2 linked regions of the Oryza sativa Japonica Group genome follow. The protein of the gene in region 1 interacts with the protein of each later gene in a pairwise test. Links are inferred from orthologs where the notes say so. Each region holds a gene or a part of one and is shown on either strand. Other genes may lie near its edges.

Region 1 (7,418 bases):
AAACTCCTGAACTGCCACTGATTCCATGTCCCCTCCTACGCACAGTGGCGCAAAGCCTGAACACCAGGCCTTGTAGTTTGACCCCATGGCTTCAAAGAGCTCATCAAGATCCTCCTGCTCAAATCCTCCATAGTAGTCGACATCATTGAGGTACCTGTTTGATCAAGAGAAAACTGGATCAATGAAAGAGTAATTCAACTAGAGAATGAACGGGACCAGAAAAGGAAAAAAAGAAGAGAAGGAACACAGAACGGAATACCATCACTTAATGGAGGAACTGTGAAGTGTAAACACATTTTATTGCATGAATATCAACCAATACAACAGTTACCCAGACAAGCTACAATCTCATTTGCCCAAGCGGAAATTAAAATAAGCATTACGAAGAGTAGACTTATTTGAGTAATGAAGAGCCTGCGCACCTGATTCATATTTTCAAGATTCTAAAACAAACTTCACTAAACAGTTAGGGACCAACAGGTGCAAGTTATAATTTCTTTGGTAATGGAAAACAAAGCATGACAGTCGAACTGCAGAACAGTATCACCGTCAGCGATGCAAATGACACAATATCACTGATATCTAATGTAGTTCCGCAGATAATATGTATACAAATAAGAGTGAGATGTGATGCCCGTACATTTACAAAGAAATGACTTCATAAAAAATAATCACTAGACTTATAAGTTATAACATGTGATGCCCGTACTTACTGATCTAATTTATACCCGAGAACTTCTAACACAGAGCTCTGTTAATGTTAAAACGTCCGCTAGAACATTTAAACCTAAGAAGACATAGGCACATTTCTTACCCATTTAATGAAAAACTTGCATAGGGAATTGGTGATATTAGGCGAGCAGATTCAAGATTGTATAATGAATGTACAGTAAAATGCTATGTAGGCTGCAAAACCTAAATTGAGAATAAGACATATCCTATACTCGTCTGAGATTAATGGAATCTAATGGCAAAGGGTGATGGCTTCATATTTTGACCAGATTAGAGTGTCATGATCCACGTAGGCCATTAAGTTTTGTTTTTTTACTCAATTTACTTGCTTCTATGTGATAGTCATTAAAACTATAAAAGAATTTATATCCGTTGCAGCACCACATACAAATTCAAATACTGACATGATTCATTGAGCATACAGAAGCAACCAACTAAAAGCAGGCTACCCAGTGACCTTTCCTCAACTATGTTTTTGACATTTTTTATTAGACTGGTATGAAATGACGAAAAAAAATGAGAATTATGTATACAATCTCATATATAATTTCATAATGAGAGAATTCTCCAATATCGAGAGTTTTAAGAGCATTCTCCAATTATGTTATACAGTTCTCCAATATGGAGCTTATATTTGTGAGATTTTTTTTTTATGTTTACCTTTCTGTTAATTAGTGGCCAAAATTGTTGCTAGAGTGCTAGGCATAAGCTAATTTACTTCAGTCATAACCGTAAACAAGCTTGGGCATACCTAAGCACTCTTCATTCGTTTCATTACAATACAATGATTCCAGATGCTAAAACTGTTCAGCACATAAAATTCCTCTTGACAATATTTCCCTGCGTTAGTCACACATGCCATGCTGATACAGGCAAATGATGATGGCAGCATACATGAACTTTCAAACCAACTGTTCAATATGATTCAGTTTCTGTTAGGGAGATAAAAACAAAGTCCCTAGTTCCCTTAGCACTCTTCTCAACTACACCACCCCATTTTACTGCTGCCTATAACATGTACACTAGGAAAGACCATATATCCAACAACTACAACAAGAATTGTCCTAGCCTGTGGCGAATTTTGAAGCTCCGACTAAGATGCAAAGCAGCTATATTGGTAGTGACAAATAACGACGCTGCACTTTAAGCAACTCAGTTATGGCCTCCAGCAAGGCATGGCTTTTGGAACAGTGTTGGTTTCCAGCAAGGAAATATCCAGAAATGGAAAGATAGGGTCATTTTCCCCTTTTGGTTTGAAAGATAGGACCAATTGGGACATGACACTTGCACCATAATAAGCGAAGAAATGTGCAAAGCTATAGCATAGCAAATCTCACCAAATATATACATCGAAGGGCACTACCATGTTTCAGCACCTTTATCGCATAGCTGTTGCTTTTTGTTTTTCTTTTTTTCCCCTTTATCGCATAGCTGTTGAGTGGGCTGTTGGCATTAGCATGATAATATGTGGTTGGTACTATCCAGATGCTCTCTACTATTTGTGGTCGTGCTTGAATTAATGTTTTCAATCTGCATAAACACCTAAGGGAATGGAATTTAGTAGTACTAATTACATGGTACCAGAATCCACTAGGAGTCTATCTCAAACATACTCCCTTCGTCCCCAAATATAAGAAGTTTTAGAGTTGGACACGGTTATTAAGAAAGTAGGTAGAAGTGAATGGTGGAGGGTTGTGATAGGTTAGGAAGAGAATGTTGGTGGAAAAGTTGTTATATTTTGGGACAAATCTTGAGGGCTAAAAGTTGTTATATTTTGGGACAGAGGGAGTATTGTATTTTTGTACTACCTCCGTCCCAAAATAAGTGCAGCCGTGGATATCCGTGCCCAACGTTTGACCGTCTGTCTTATATTTGAAAAATTTGTGAAAAATTTGAAAATATTTAGTCACACATAAAGTACTATTCATGTTTTATCATCTAATAGTAATAAAAATACTAATCATAAAAAAATTTCAAATAAGACGAACGGTCAAACGTTGAACGTGAATAGTGCAAAACTACACTTATTTTGGGACGGAGGGAGTAGTATGTTACTATTTTTTTTCAAAAACGCAGGAGAACTGCGCTTCATTTCAGTAAGAAGAAATAAATATTTACAAAGGAGGGATCAACAAATCCCAAAACACATCACCCATGGGTGAGGCCCGACTAATATGTTACAATAACTGCTGCTCAAAATATCAAATAGGTTAAATTTGATGAGAACAGAAACTTATTTTCCACTCAAATCGTGGAATCATCCACGAATCCAGCTTCTGGCAAGTTTCTAGTGTTTTTCTTTTCAATTTAACTTTGTAAGCTTGGTCTAGCCTGAAGATTGGTGCTCCCTAAATTTTACTGCTTTCCTTCTCTTGTTACAAGGTCTTTTGTGGGCTCGTGTGTGTTTTGGCTGTGTGCATCCTAGTTATGCAAAGGCCAGAAGTTTTCTTAGTATGGTTCTATCAACTTGATGTAATCATCTGAGATTAGTAAAAAGCTTCCTTTATCAAAAAAAAAAATTGCAAGCTCTCAGTTCTTTTACACCTTGGAGTGTTGAAGAGTGTTAGTCCTTGTCTTGTTTTGGCAACAAATGGCTGCAAAACATTCTGGCATGTACATTACCTGCCTAGAACTGATTCCTCTAATCAGCTGATTCTAAAACCCAATCAAGAATGTATTGCCAATCTTGTTATCTTCTCTTGAGTGAAGCTCAATCTTGATATTATTTCAGCTCAGTATATTTTAGTGATAACGGAGAAGATCAATCTCAAACTAGAGGCAAAAGAATTCAATTATGTAGAGTAGGAGTAGCTAATCACATACAGCAGTACACCTTGCAAGTTGTCTGTCTTGACAATACAGCTATCTAATTTGAGATTTGGAGGTTCTATACAGCCAACGCCCCACCCGTCCATAGTTAAATCAAGGGTAAGTACCAATTGGAGATGCCTAGATTACCAGTAGCACGAAAGTTGTTAATTTGTCAGTAGAAATCAGGCACCCCTTTGAAGCAAGATCCCCTATTCTCACCCTGGCTGCAGTGAATTAAACGAGCCATAAGCCCCATGCTGATGGAGAGGCATCTACATAAGGAATCCTAGTCCAAGCGTCCAACCAATTCCCCCTGCGAGTCTCCAATTTCCCCCATGACGACAAGCCCCGCAAATCGACAGCTGATTCCTCTATGAAGACAAAAGCCGCCATCTGCCCCCAAAATCGACAAAAAATTTCCTCGTGACGTACCTCGGTACTAGTACCCATTCGGGGAGCTGTTTTTAGCCGAATTCATCACCACCAAAATTAAATTAAAGTCCAATACTCCTATTTATTCCCCAATCCATATAAGGGAGAGTAATAAAGAGTAGTATGAGATACTCGTATGCTGCTTGGTGAAGACGCAGTAGTAGAATAGAATAGTACCGAGGCGAGGCGGAGAGGAGGACGAGCTTGGAGAAGAGGTCGGGGCGGGAGATGGAGGCGATGGCGCCGATGACGGCGGAGACGGAGTGGCCGACGTAGATGCAGGAGGCGACGCGGAGCTCCTGGAGGATGGCGAGGAGGTCGAGCGCGTAGCCCTCGAGGGTGGCGTAGCGGGAGAAGTCGAAGTAGTCCGGGTTGGTCGGCCCCGCCCCCATGGTGTCGAAGAGCACCACGCGGTAGTCGGCCACCAGGTGCGGCACCAGGTGCTTCCACACCGACTGGTCCGTCCCGAACCCGTGCGCCAGCACGATCACCCCGCGCTTCCCCTCCCCCACCACCCGCAGGTTGTGCGCCTCCTCCACGATCCCCATAGCTTCCCTTCCTCCGATCCTCCTCACGCCCGGACAACACCTCTTCTTCCTCCTCCTCCTCCTCCTCGGCTCCTCGTGGTGGCGTTGCGACTCGCGACTCGGGACTGAGACAGCAGAGGCGGCGGGAGGCCGGGCGGCTGGCTGCCTTGGCTAGTGGGAAATCGGGTGGTGGGGGTTTTAAGGGCGGGGGGCGTTGGTGTGGACCGGAATCTGCCAACCGCAACGCTCTCGCCACGCGGGGTTCCACCCTCGCCTGTCGCTAAACGGTGGGTCCATACTAGCTCCTCGATGAGGGTGGGGCTGAACTTTTAAGTAACCATATTTCTCTCTGTTATTAATGAGGGTCGCGAGTCCGTAATATCTACCGCATGTGCCCTCCACGAGTATATTGAAATCGTATATCCAACTGCAAGCTTAACCCATGAGAGTATTTATTAATTAATTTATTTGTTTATCAAATGTTAAATAAATATTCCCACCCATCGAATAATTGACACTGTGACCACAAATTACGTTTAAATTATATAATGAATTAAAGTTTTATTGTTGTACTTATGACTCTACAACCTACTGCGATAATATAATATAAAGTATTTATAATTTTTTAAGGTCAGAATTTGGATTTGATTAGTGCCGGTTCTAATTAGAACAGAGGGGTATGGCAATTACTAGTATGCCTTTTACCATAAATAAATTTTTATGGAAGAAATTCTGTGGTGAACTTTCATAAGTTAATTTGTGTTTTCAGAACAAACTGAGATTTATTGTTAGTTTGTGGAGTATTAACTATTGCATCAAATCTTGCAATACGTAGGCTAGATTTTACTTTTACAATCATTTCTTGGAATATATATTTCGGACGAAACCGAGGAGCGGCCGGAGTGGAGAGCGATGCTGCGATGTCGGGGGAGGAGATGGCGACGTCAGCCAGTGCACCGGCGAGGAACAGTGGACGGCCAGAGGGTTCGGGATACTGGACACCGCTCCGGCTTTACGGTGTATTTGAGAGAAGAGGAAAGAAAGATTAAGAAGATACGTAACATGAGGCGAGATATTAGAGCATAATTAATTGAGTATTAATTATTTAAACTTAAAAATAGATTAATATGTTTTTAAAGCAACTTTGTTATAACTTATTTTTAAAAATGCACATGCTGTTTAGCCGTTTAGTAAGCGTGTGCTTGAAAAATGAGAGTATATCTTCTTTATCATTGAAACAAACGAAGCTATGATTAAGAGGATGATGTTATAAAAAATATCCTACTTTGATACTCCCTTCGATTTCATAATTCTTGACATTTTAAACACTGACATGGTCTTTAAAAATATCTTTCACCTTGTTTTTTTATTATAATATATCTTTACCTATTATAAAAATTTAAAATGTTTTTGCCTAGGGATTTCATACGTCGCTTGTCCGATTTTTTTTCACCCTCGCGCACGATTTTTTCCGCAGGTGCGTACGTATTTTCGTTAGATTCCTTTACTACCCTACGTAGTGTCCGTATTCCTTTCCTATATTGTTGAGATGTCCAGGTTCGCTTTTATCCAGGCCTATGTCGCTTTGCATTCAGGCCCAGGCCCTTGATAATTCCAATATATTTACACCAAACAGCTACAAGCGTATCCGCTTTCAGTGTCTAAAAAACATCTCAAGGACAAATAAACTCCTATATCTATATGTATATTTCTATCTCTATCTCTATTATTATAAAAATTGAAAATATTTTTGTTGGTACTTTTGTAAGATCTCTATATCTACTATTATAAAAATTGAAGATGTTTTTACCCGTACTTTGATTAGTCATCCGTGTTTGAGTCAGTTTTAATTTCTTGTTTTGGTTTCAATCTCTAATCCTCAAAATCCGTAATTTAAAAAAGGGTGAAAAAATCACACGAAAAAAGAAAACGCCCATAAAAATGCGAAAGAAAAACAGTGAAATAAGTCTGATTCATACCGGAACGGAAAAAATAGGCAAAAATGCTAGGTAAAAACAAAAAAGCGGACCGTAAAAAAAAAATCGACGACTGTAAAAAAAATAAAAAGAGTCATGTGGAAAAACCGATTGGTATCTGTCCTCTTTTATCCTCCTTTTTCCTTTTTTTTCTGCTTTTCTTTTTTTCCATCTGCTTTTTTGTCCGTCTTTTTCCATCCTTCTTTTTTTCCGTTCTTTCCGGTTATTTTGCCATCGCATTTTTCCCTTTTATATTCATTTTTTATCCCTATTTTTTATTCGTATTTTTTTGCACACGGAAGGGTGTGCGCACATGGTTAGAATTCTTTTTTTTATCTACTCGGTTTTTTCTGTTGTAGGGCCGAACCCTAGTACCACCGCCACATCGATCATCCTCCTCATGCTTTTCCTCCTCCAATTTATTGTAAAAATCAATTCTCCACTACTCCATCATCAATCTCTATTTAGAAGTCACCGTTTATATCCCACAGTTTTATAGATTTGCTCTAATTTTGATAAAAATGAAAAGAGGAGATTGAGTGAACAAAAGCCCTCAACCAATTTTGAGAGATCGAGAAAGATTTGACCAGATTTGATGGGAGAATCGGTTTTGGCATCGTACTACACGGGATTGTCTTCCGATTGTGAGACATCGAGAAAGATTTAACCGGATTTGATGGGAGGATCGGTTCTGGCATCGTACTACACGGGACTGTATTTTGGAGGTTGATGATGGAAGTCGACTATACGAGCTAGGCCTATAGTTCTACTTGTGGGCTAGCTTAAAGAGAAGCAAGCTAAGCAGAGGGAGGTAGCGGGCTAGCCCGAGACTGAAAAGGAAGAAAGAAAATGTGTTTTTGACCCAAAACCAAATAGCATAATGTATAGCAATCCAAAAATATTTTTACCCGTTGCAACGCACAGGCTTTTTTTCTAGTAC
Region 2 (7,405 bases), on another chromosome or scaffold:
CACCTCCATAGTCCCAACATTCAGAGTTTCAGACTATGCTCTAGCGCGGTACCATCATACCAAGGCTGGAAGTTGATGAGCTTTAGCTCTTTCTAGTAGTAGACTGGTAGCAGAACACCCGAAGGGTTTTTTTTTTTGGTTTTTTGAAAGAGCGACTCGGCCCGTGGGTTTTCGACTTCAGATGCTTGCCCCTTTAAGTAAATCCTTTAAGACTTAGAGCGTTGCTTCTGGGTACCTGCAGATGGGTTCAAGGCCTGTAGTGTATGCTGTTGCTTGCTTGAAATGGGAATTTTTGTCCATGCAGATCGATCCTCCAGGCGGTTTTTATATGCCAGATAGTAGAAGAGTTCTGTAGCTAGGATGGGCTCGTTTGAATGTTCTCAATGTTATTTTCGCGAGGCAATTTTTTTTGCCACCAGGAGGAATGTCGGAATGTAGGACAGTTGAATATATCCCATATGTAGAACAAGAGAAATTTTACTGTCTTTGTGGATACCTAGAGAGATCATTTTTTTTTTATTTTGGTTTCTCTTAATAGCCGAGGTATTGTGGATACCTAGAGAGATCAATTTTTTAATGTAGATTTTGGTATCTCTTAATAGCCGAGGTATTAAGAGAAGAGGTATACCAAGTTTCTTAATAAAAAAAGGATACCTCACTGTACCTGCTAAAGAGTAAAATCACTCAACAACTAATTAAATTTCCGGTTGTTCAAGTTGCAATGGAATCATTGTAGTTTGGAAGCATCGTCAATAGAATCACCATCTTTGTCTAGTTTGAAAGAGTTGCCAATACTCAATAGCATTATCATCTTTTTTTTGCTCCCAAGTAGACTTTGTTTTCGTTAAGAAGAACATCTTCTTAAACTTCTTTATCAAAGAACACATCACCCACCATCTTCTTAAACTTTATCAAAAAGAAAACCACCACCTTGAAGTATGTTTGCTCAATCATATGCAGGACCACTAAACACAAGGCTCAAATTGACGCCATCTGACTAACAACTACTTCCTCCATTCTTTTCTTCAAGAAACTACTCCCTCTATCCTATATTAGTCTCCAAAACTAATCTTTGTTTTATAATTTCTCATATATATAATAAGGTTGTAGTAACAAAATTATAACCATATGAAAATAAATTCAAATATTAATCCAATGATATAATTTTTAGCAAGTAAAATTCAATTTATATTGTACTAAATGATGGTCAAAATGTTTTGAAGGTGGAATCTTAAAATATGTGGACGCCTTATATTATGTGATGGAGAGAGTAACTTCTAATTCTGTATTTGAACATAGTCTATATCTAAATATATAGTTTGAAGTTTTTTTTTTTTTTTTGGTGGGAGGGGGTGTAGTCCATGACCAGTGAAAGATGCATACGTTACAAGGATTACACTGCGACAGAGGTGAGCAGGCGAGTTGGATTGACTGGAGGAAACGACAACGCTTCGTCGTTCTGAGGACGCGCATGCTGGATCTGGGGCGCCGGGCCGCAGTTGATGACGGTGAGAGCGGAGGCGAGGGCGGTGTTGGGTGGCGAGTTTATCGGAGACGACGACGATGAGGCCTCACCATTCCGGCCGATGAGCGTGTTGGGACGGCCCCGCTGCGGAGGAGGTGAGGGGATCGGAGGCTCTGAGAGGCGAGTTTACCGGAGATAACGACGAGGCCGTCCCATTCCGGCGGATGCGCCTGCCGGAGCGACGCCGCGGCGGCTGGGACGGAGAGATCGCCGGGGGAAGAAGAAGAAGAGAGAGGAGGAGTGGCATTAACTGACACCGTTGGATCAAAACCTCATGGCTGCGATCGCGTAAGCACAGGGTGACTTTTGCAAAAGAGCCCTCAGTTTGTTGTTAGTATTTTCTTTAGAGTCCTTGCTCGACATGGATCGCTGCGACGCTGCGCATCGTTAGCGACCGTACGGGCCTGTACGGAAACCGTCGGATCCGAATCAAGCGGTCAGGAACTCAGGATCACCGCGGCCGAGTGGAAACTGTCCGTAGATCGCTATCCTGATGGCTCGTAGTCGTACATACACCGTTGGATTCGAATCTCGCGGCCAGGGTGGTGCGGCTCTACGTCAGCCGCGCCGTCTCCTTCGCCGGAAATCCAGAGCCGCGTAGCTCCGACACCATTGCCACTTCGCTCGAGAGCTGAAAGCTGGCACATCTAGTCGTCGGCTGATCACTCCTGGTGGCAACAACCAAAAGAAGTGATCGATAATTTTATTCTTGGCTGCTGATGAATTCAGTAAATCGGCCTGGCCGGCATGGTAGATCGATGCCGTGCCATGGCGGAGTCGATGTGCAGTTACACTGAATAAAACCAGTGTGCAGTTGTGCATTTGGTCTGCTTAGAGCAGGTGCAATAGCAGGCTATAAGCCAGCTATAAACACATTTCGAAAAAATAAAAAAAGAGAGAGAATGACAGCGGGGCTACAGATTTATAACCAGTTGCAGCACAGACTTCAAGGTGTATGTGTGTATGATAGATGAGACCAAATATTAATTATGTAGTATATATTTATAGGTAACTATTGTATGAGTTGGCTATTAAGTTGATTATAGATGATTTCAAGCCAACAGTTGGCTATAGGACACAACATTTTTCTTTTTCTTTTTTGAAAATGACACATTTTCCTAAGAACATGCACGGAGTTCTGCCTGTCTCAGGAGATAAAGGAAACCGAAACTCATACAGCAGGATTCACAGGAGAGCAAGGAAGGTACTTCGGTTCTGATGCACTGGAGATCGAGTGCAGATGGTGCTGTGAAAGCTCTTGAACAGCAGGAAGGTACAGAGATGTTTGGCTCAGCTCACCTTGAATATATATGCATAATATCTGGGTTGACCTTCCACAAATATCCAGATCAATGGCACAAACGTGATAAAATTGATTGGAAAATCATTTGCAACACAAGATCACGCAGTGTAACTGGAGTGGACTTCATGTCGATCCAAGCCGACACAATTGGTAGTTGACACAATGATCATCAAATTCTCAAAAAAAAAAAAAGACAATGATCATCAGACCCAGGCACCCAGCCTTTCATTTTTTTTCTAATCTTCCCTTAAAACTACAAGCATCCAATCTTCAACTCCATTACCTTAAAAAAAAAACTAATCTTCAACTATTATTATATTACCAATTAAACTATTACACGCTTGAGTTGCAACCATTTCTGCAGTTTCGGCTCCACGACGTGCATGGCTCAAACCCCGCCAAAAGCTCACCTCGTCGTCGTCGTCGTCGTATCTCTCCTCCTCGCTACGTGCGAGGCACATCGCGTGCGCCCACGATGCCACGGCCGCGCGCCACCGTCCTCCACGTCGTCGATCATGGCGACCTTATAAAACTCCTCCGCCGTGCGGGCCTCTCCCTCAATCCAGTATTCCACTACCGAGGTCGAGCAATGGCGGCGACGATGAACAAGACGCCGGCAACCACCTTCCTGCTGATACCGGCGGCGGCGTCGCTGGTTCTCCTCCTCGCGGCGGCCGCGTCGGTGGAGGCGTCGGCGTTCGACTACGCCGGCGCGTTCGACAAGTGCCTCCTGTTCTTCGAGGCGCAGCGCTCCGGCAAGCTCCCCGACGACCGCCTCGTCCGGTGGCGCGGCGACTCCGCCCTCACCGACGGCTTCTCCCAGGGGGTAATACATACATCTCCGCCGCCTCCGGTTCAATCAACCAAATGCTCGATAGTGGTTACAGTCGTTAGAGTAGTACTTTAAAGTCCTGAGTTTAAATCTTTATAGAAGTAAATTTTAGATTGTGTTGTCCACGGGACAAAGTTCTCTATTGCAATGGCCGTGTATATCCAGTTGGATGTAAAAGGCAAGGCCGGGTAAATGCTCGATCGGGTTGAGTAATGCGGCGCGAATTGAATCGAAGGATGGATGAATTTGCAGGTGGATTTGGTGGGCGGGTACTACGACTCCGGCGACCACGTGAAGTTCGGGCTCCCGATGGCGTACGCGGTGACGATGCTGTCGTGGGGGGTGGTCGAGTTCGAGAAGGAGATGGTCGACGGCAACAAGCTCCACCGCGTCCTCGACGCCATCCGCTGGGGCACCAACTACTTCGTCAAGGCCCACACCCAGCACAACGCCCTCTGGGTCCAGGTACGCACGCACTCAAGGCCCATCTCACCAAGAGCCCAACACGGCCCACTAGTGCCCTCAAGAAAAATTTTCTGGATTCTTTGATTAGGTGGGTGACGGCGACAGCGACCACCTGTGCTGGGAGCGCGCCGAGGACATGTCGACGCCGCGCACGGCGTTCAAGATCGACATCAACAACCCCGGGTCGGAGGTCGCCGGCGAGACCGCCGCCGCTCTCGCCGCCGCCGCCAAGGCCTTCAAGCCCTACGACCGCATGTACTCCGACCTCCTCCTCCTCCACTCCAAGCAGGTACAGAGACACATGTGGCTGTGATCTTCGTCCATTTTTCCAACCCACCTTCCTCGTTTTTCGCACGCATGCTTTTCAAACTATTAAACGGTATGATTTATAAAAAAAAAGTGAATTACGTTTTGGGCCACATCTTATTACCTAAGTTTCACTTTAGACCACCTTTAAACATATATTTTTACTTTGGACCGAATAAATTTACTATTGTTGTAATTTGGATTACCACGAACGATTTTTTTTCAGTACAACCAACGAGCTTAAACACATCAACTCTAGTATGCGGCCGAACTCCTCTATATATGGTTCATATGTTTGCCGAAAGGGAAGTTATACATGATGAGAAAAGTTGTTTATGATAGTACAAACCGTAACAGTGGTAAATTTACCCAGTCTAAATTAAAAAGATAGCTTTAAGGGTGGTCCAAATTGAAACTTGGGAAATAAAAGAGGGACCAAAGTGCAATTTAATCTTAAAAAAATATATATTAAAGTTATTTTAAAAAATCATATTAATCCATTTTTTTTAAAAAAATAATTAATAGTTAATTAATTTTATAATAATATAAGCTTTGTTTTGCGGGACGGGAGGAGGGGCTGTCGAACGCAGCCAGCGTATGAGAGCAATCAGCAAATGCAGCAGCAACATTCTGATGAGTTATTTTCTCTTTTTTTTGGGGGGGCAGCTGTTCACGTTCGCGGACACGTTCAGGGGCAAGTACGACGACTCGCTGCAGAGCGCCAAGAAGTTCTACCCGTCGGCGTCCGGCTACCAGGACGAGCTGCTGTGGGCGGCGGCGTGGCTGTACGAGGCGACCGGCGACGAGCAGTACCTCCGCTACGTGTCCCAGAACGCGGAGGCGTTCGGCGGCACCGGCTGGGCCGTCACCGAGTTCTCCTGGGACAACAAGTACGCCGGCCTCCAGGTCCTCCTCTCCAAGGTCCTCTTCGAGCAGGGCGGCAGCGCCGCCGGCTACGCCGACACGCTGAAGCAGTATCAGGCCAAGGCCGAGTTCTTCCTCTGCGCCTGCCTCCAGAAGAACAACGGCCACAACGTCAAGATGACCCCTGGTAATCCATCCCATCCTTGCTAGCTTCTTCTTCTTCCAAGGATGGAAAACTCAAATCATCCTTAAGAAAACATCTCCTCATTTTTGCATGATCATAAAAAAAATTAGTAGGATAGATCACTCTTAATAAATATACAAATTCAAATTCAATTAATACAAATAAAAACAAAAATAATAAATTTGACAATGAATAGAACGTGTAATTTAAGGTTAAATTTGTTATTTTTGTTTTGAATTGTATAAGTTGAATTTTAACTCGCATGTTTACGAAAGATGTCATATATTAATCTATCTTGACAATTTTTTTTTAAAAAAAAATTGATAAAATTTTGAGTGAGATGTATAAAACGAGGGGATGTCCTCCCGAGGGACAAAAATCCACTTCCTCGAAGAATTGGTAATAGATTTTGCAATGTGATTGTTCTGAATTGTGTGGATTGGATTGGTTATCCAGGTGGTCTCATGTACGTGAGCGACTGGAGCAACATGCAGTACGTGAGCTCGTCGGCGTTCCTCCTCACCGTCTACGCCGACTACCTCGCCGAGTCGCGGGGAACGCTCAGGTGCCCGGACGGCGAGGTGAAGCCGGCGGAGATCCTCCGGTTCGCGAGGTCGCAGGTCGACTACGTCCTCGGCAAGAACCCCAAGGGGATGAGCTACATGGTCGGATACGGCAGCTACTACCCGACGCACGTCCACCACCGCGGCGCGTCCATCCCGTCCATCTACGCCATGAACGCCACCGTCGGGTGCATGGAAAGCTTCGACAAGTACTACAACAGCAAGAACGCCGACCCCAACGTCCTCCACGGCGCCCTCGTCGGCGGCCCCGACGCCAACGACGCCTACGACGACGACCGCTGCAACTACCAGCACGCCGAGCCCACCCTCGCCGGCAACGCCCCCATGTCCGGCGTCTTCGCCCGCCTCGCCGCCTCGCCCGCCGATAACACGCCGGAGTACACGCCGGCGCCAAATGCCCCCTCGCCATCAAATGGTAATTAATTAACCAAATCAACAATGCAATCGAACTTGTACCATTGAGATCTCCTCCAAGTGATCGTGCGTTTCTTTGTCAGGTGGGTCGCCGTTGGAGTTCGTGCACACGGTGACGAACACGTGGAAGGCAAACGGCGTGGACTACTACCGGCACGTGGTGACGGCGAAGAACACGTGCGGCCACGCCATCACCTACCTGAAGCTGCAGATCAAGGAGCTCTCCGGGGAGATCTACGGCGTCTCCCGCACGAACGCCAAGGACATGTACGAGTTCCCGTCGTGGATGACACGGCTCGACGCCGGCGCGCAGCTCACCATCGTCTACATCCAGGGCGGCCCCGCCGCCAAGATCGCCGTCGTCGAGTACAAGACGGCCTGAGAATGGCACGACGACGACGACTGATTTCTGCCTTTCCTTTTTTCCATTTTAGTTTTGGTGTGTGGTTGGCTGCTGCTTTTCAGCAAACAGGTGGTGTGCAATCTCGAAGCAACGAGTCTGTGATGTCACCTCTGACCACGACTGCTTTGAGATGTGGACATGCACTGTTTCTTCTGTACTTGGAATGGCATAGGAGATCTCTCAGCTTTTCTTTTAGCTTTCGTGATTTCTCCATTCTTTCCGCTGTGCACGCCTGTGTGTTTTATATGTTCAAATTAAGCAGAAAACTGTGACATGATGTTTTTGCTATTGTGCTTAGGTGGTGTTTGGATCCAGTGACTTAACTTTAGTACTTATATTTAGATACTAATTTAGAGTATTAAATATATACTACTTCCAAAACTAATTACATAAATGAAAGCTAATTTACGAGATAAATTTTTTAAGCATAATTAATCTATAATTAGAGAATGTTTACTGTAGCATCCTAATTATGGATTAATTAGGCTCAATAGATTCGTCTCGCAAATTAGTTCAGAATTATGG

Evidence for each region.
Region 2: the proteins of probable esterase D14L (region 1) and endoglucanase 13 precursor interact in binary tests that used the Arabidopsis thaliana proteins (3 or more experiments, as listed by UniProt). The link is inferred for Oryza sativa Japonica Group from reciprocal best matches to the Arabidopsis thaliana genes KAI2 and GH9C1.

Annotation. Positions count from the first base shown.
Region 1 is NC_089037.1:18,909,082-18,916,499, forward strand, and holds the start of probable esterase D14L, read right to left. Parts: upstream 4,676-7,418; 5' UTR 4,524-4,675; coding exon 4,153-4,523; intron 155-4,152; coding exon 1-154.
Region 2 is NC_089038.1:34,970,207-34,977,611, reverse strand, and holds endoglucanase 13 precursor, read left to right. Parts: upstream 1-3,185; 5' UTR 3,186-3,417; coding exon 3,418-3,654; intron 3,655-3,912; coding exon 3,913-4,125; intron 4,126-4,213; coding exon 4,214-4,414; intron 4,415-5,097; coding exon 5,098-5,482; intron 5,483-5,935; coding exon 5,936-6,478; intron 6,479-6,560; coding exon 6,561-6,859; 3' UTR 6,860-7,167; downstream 7,168-7,405.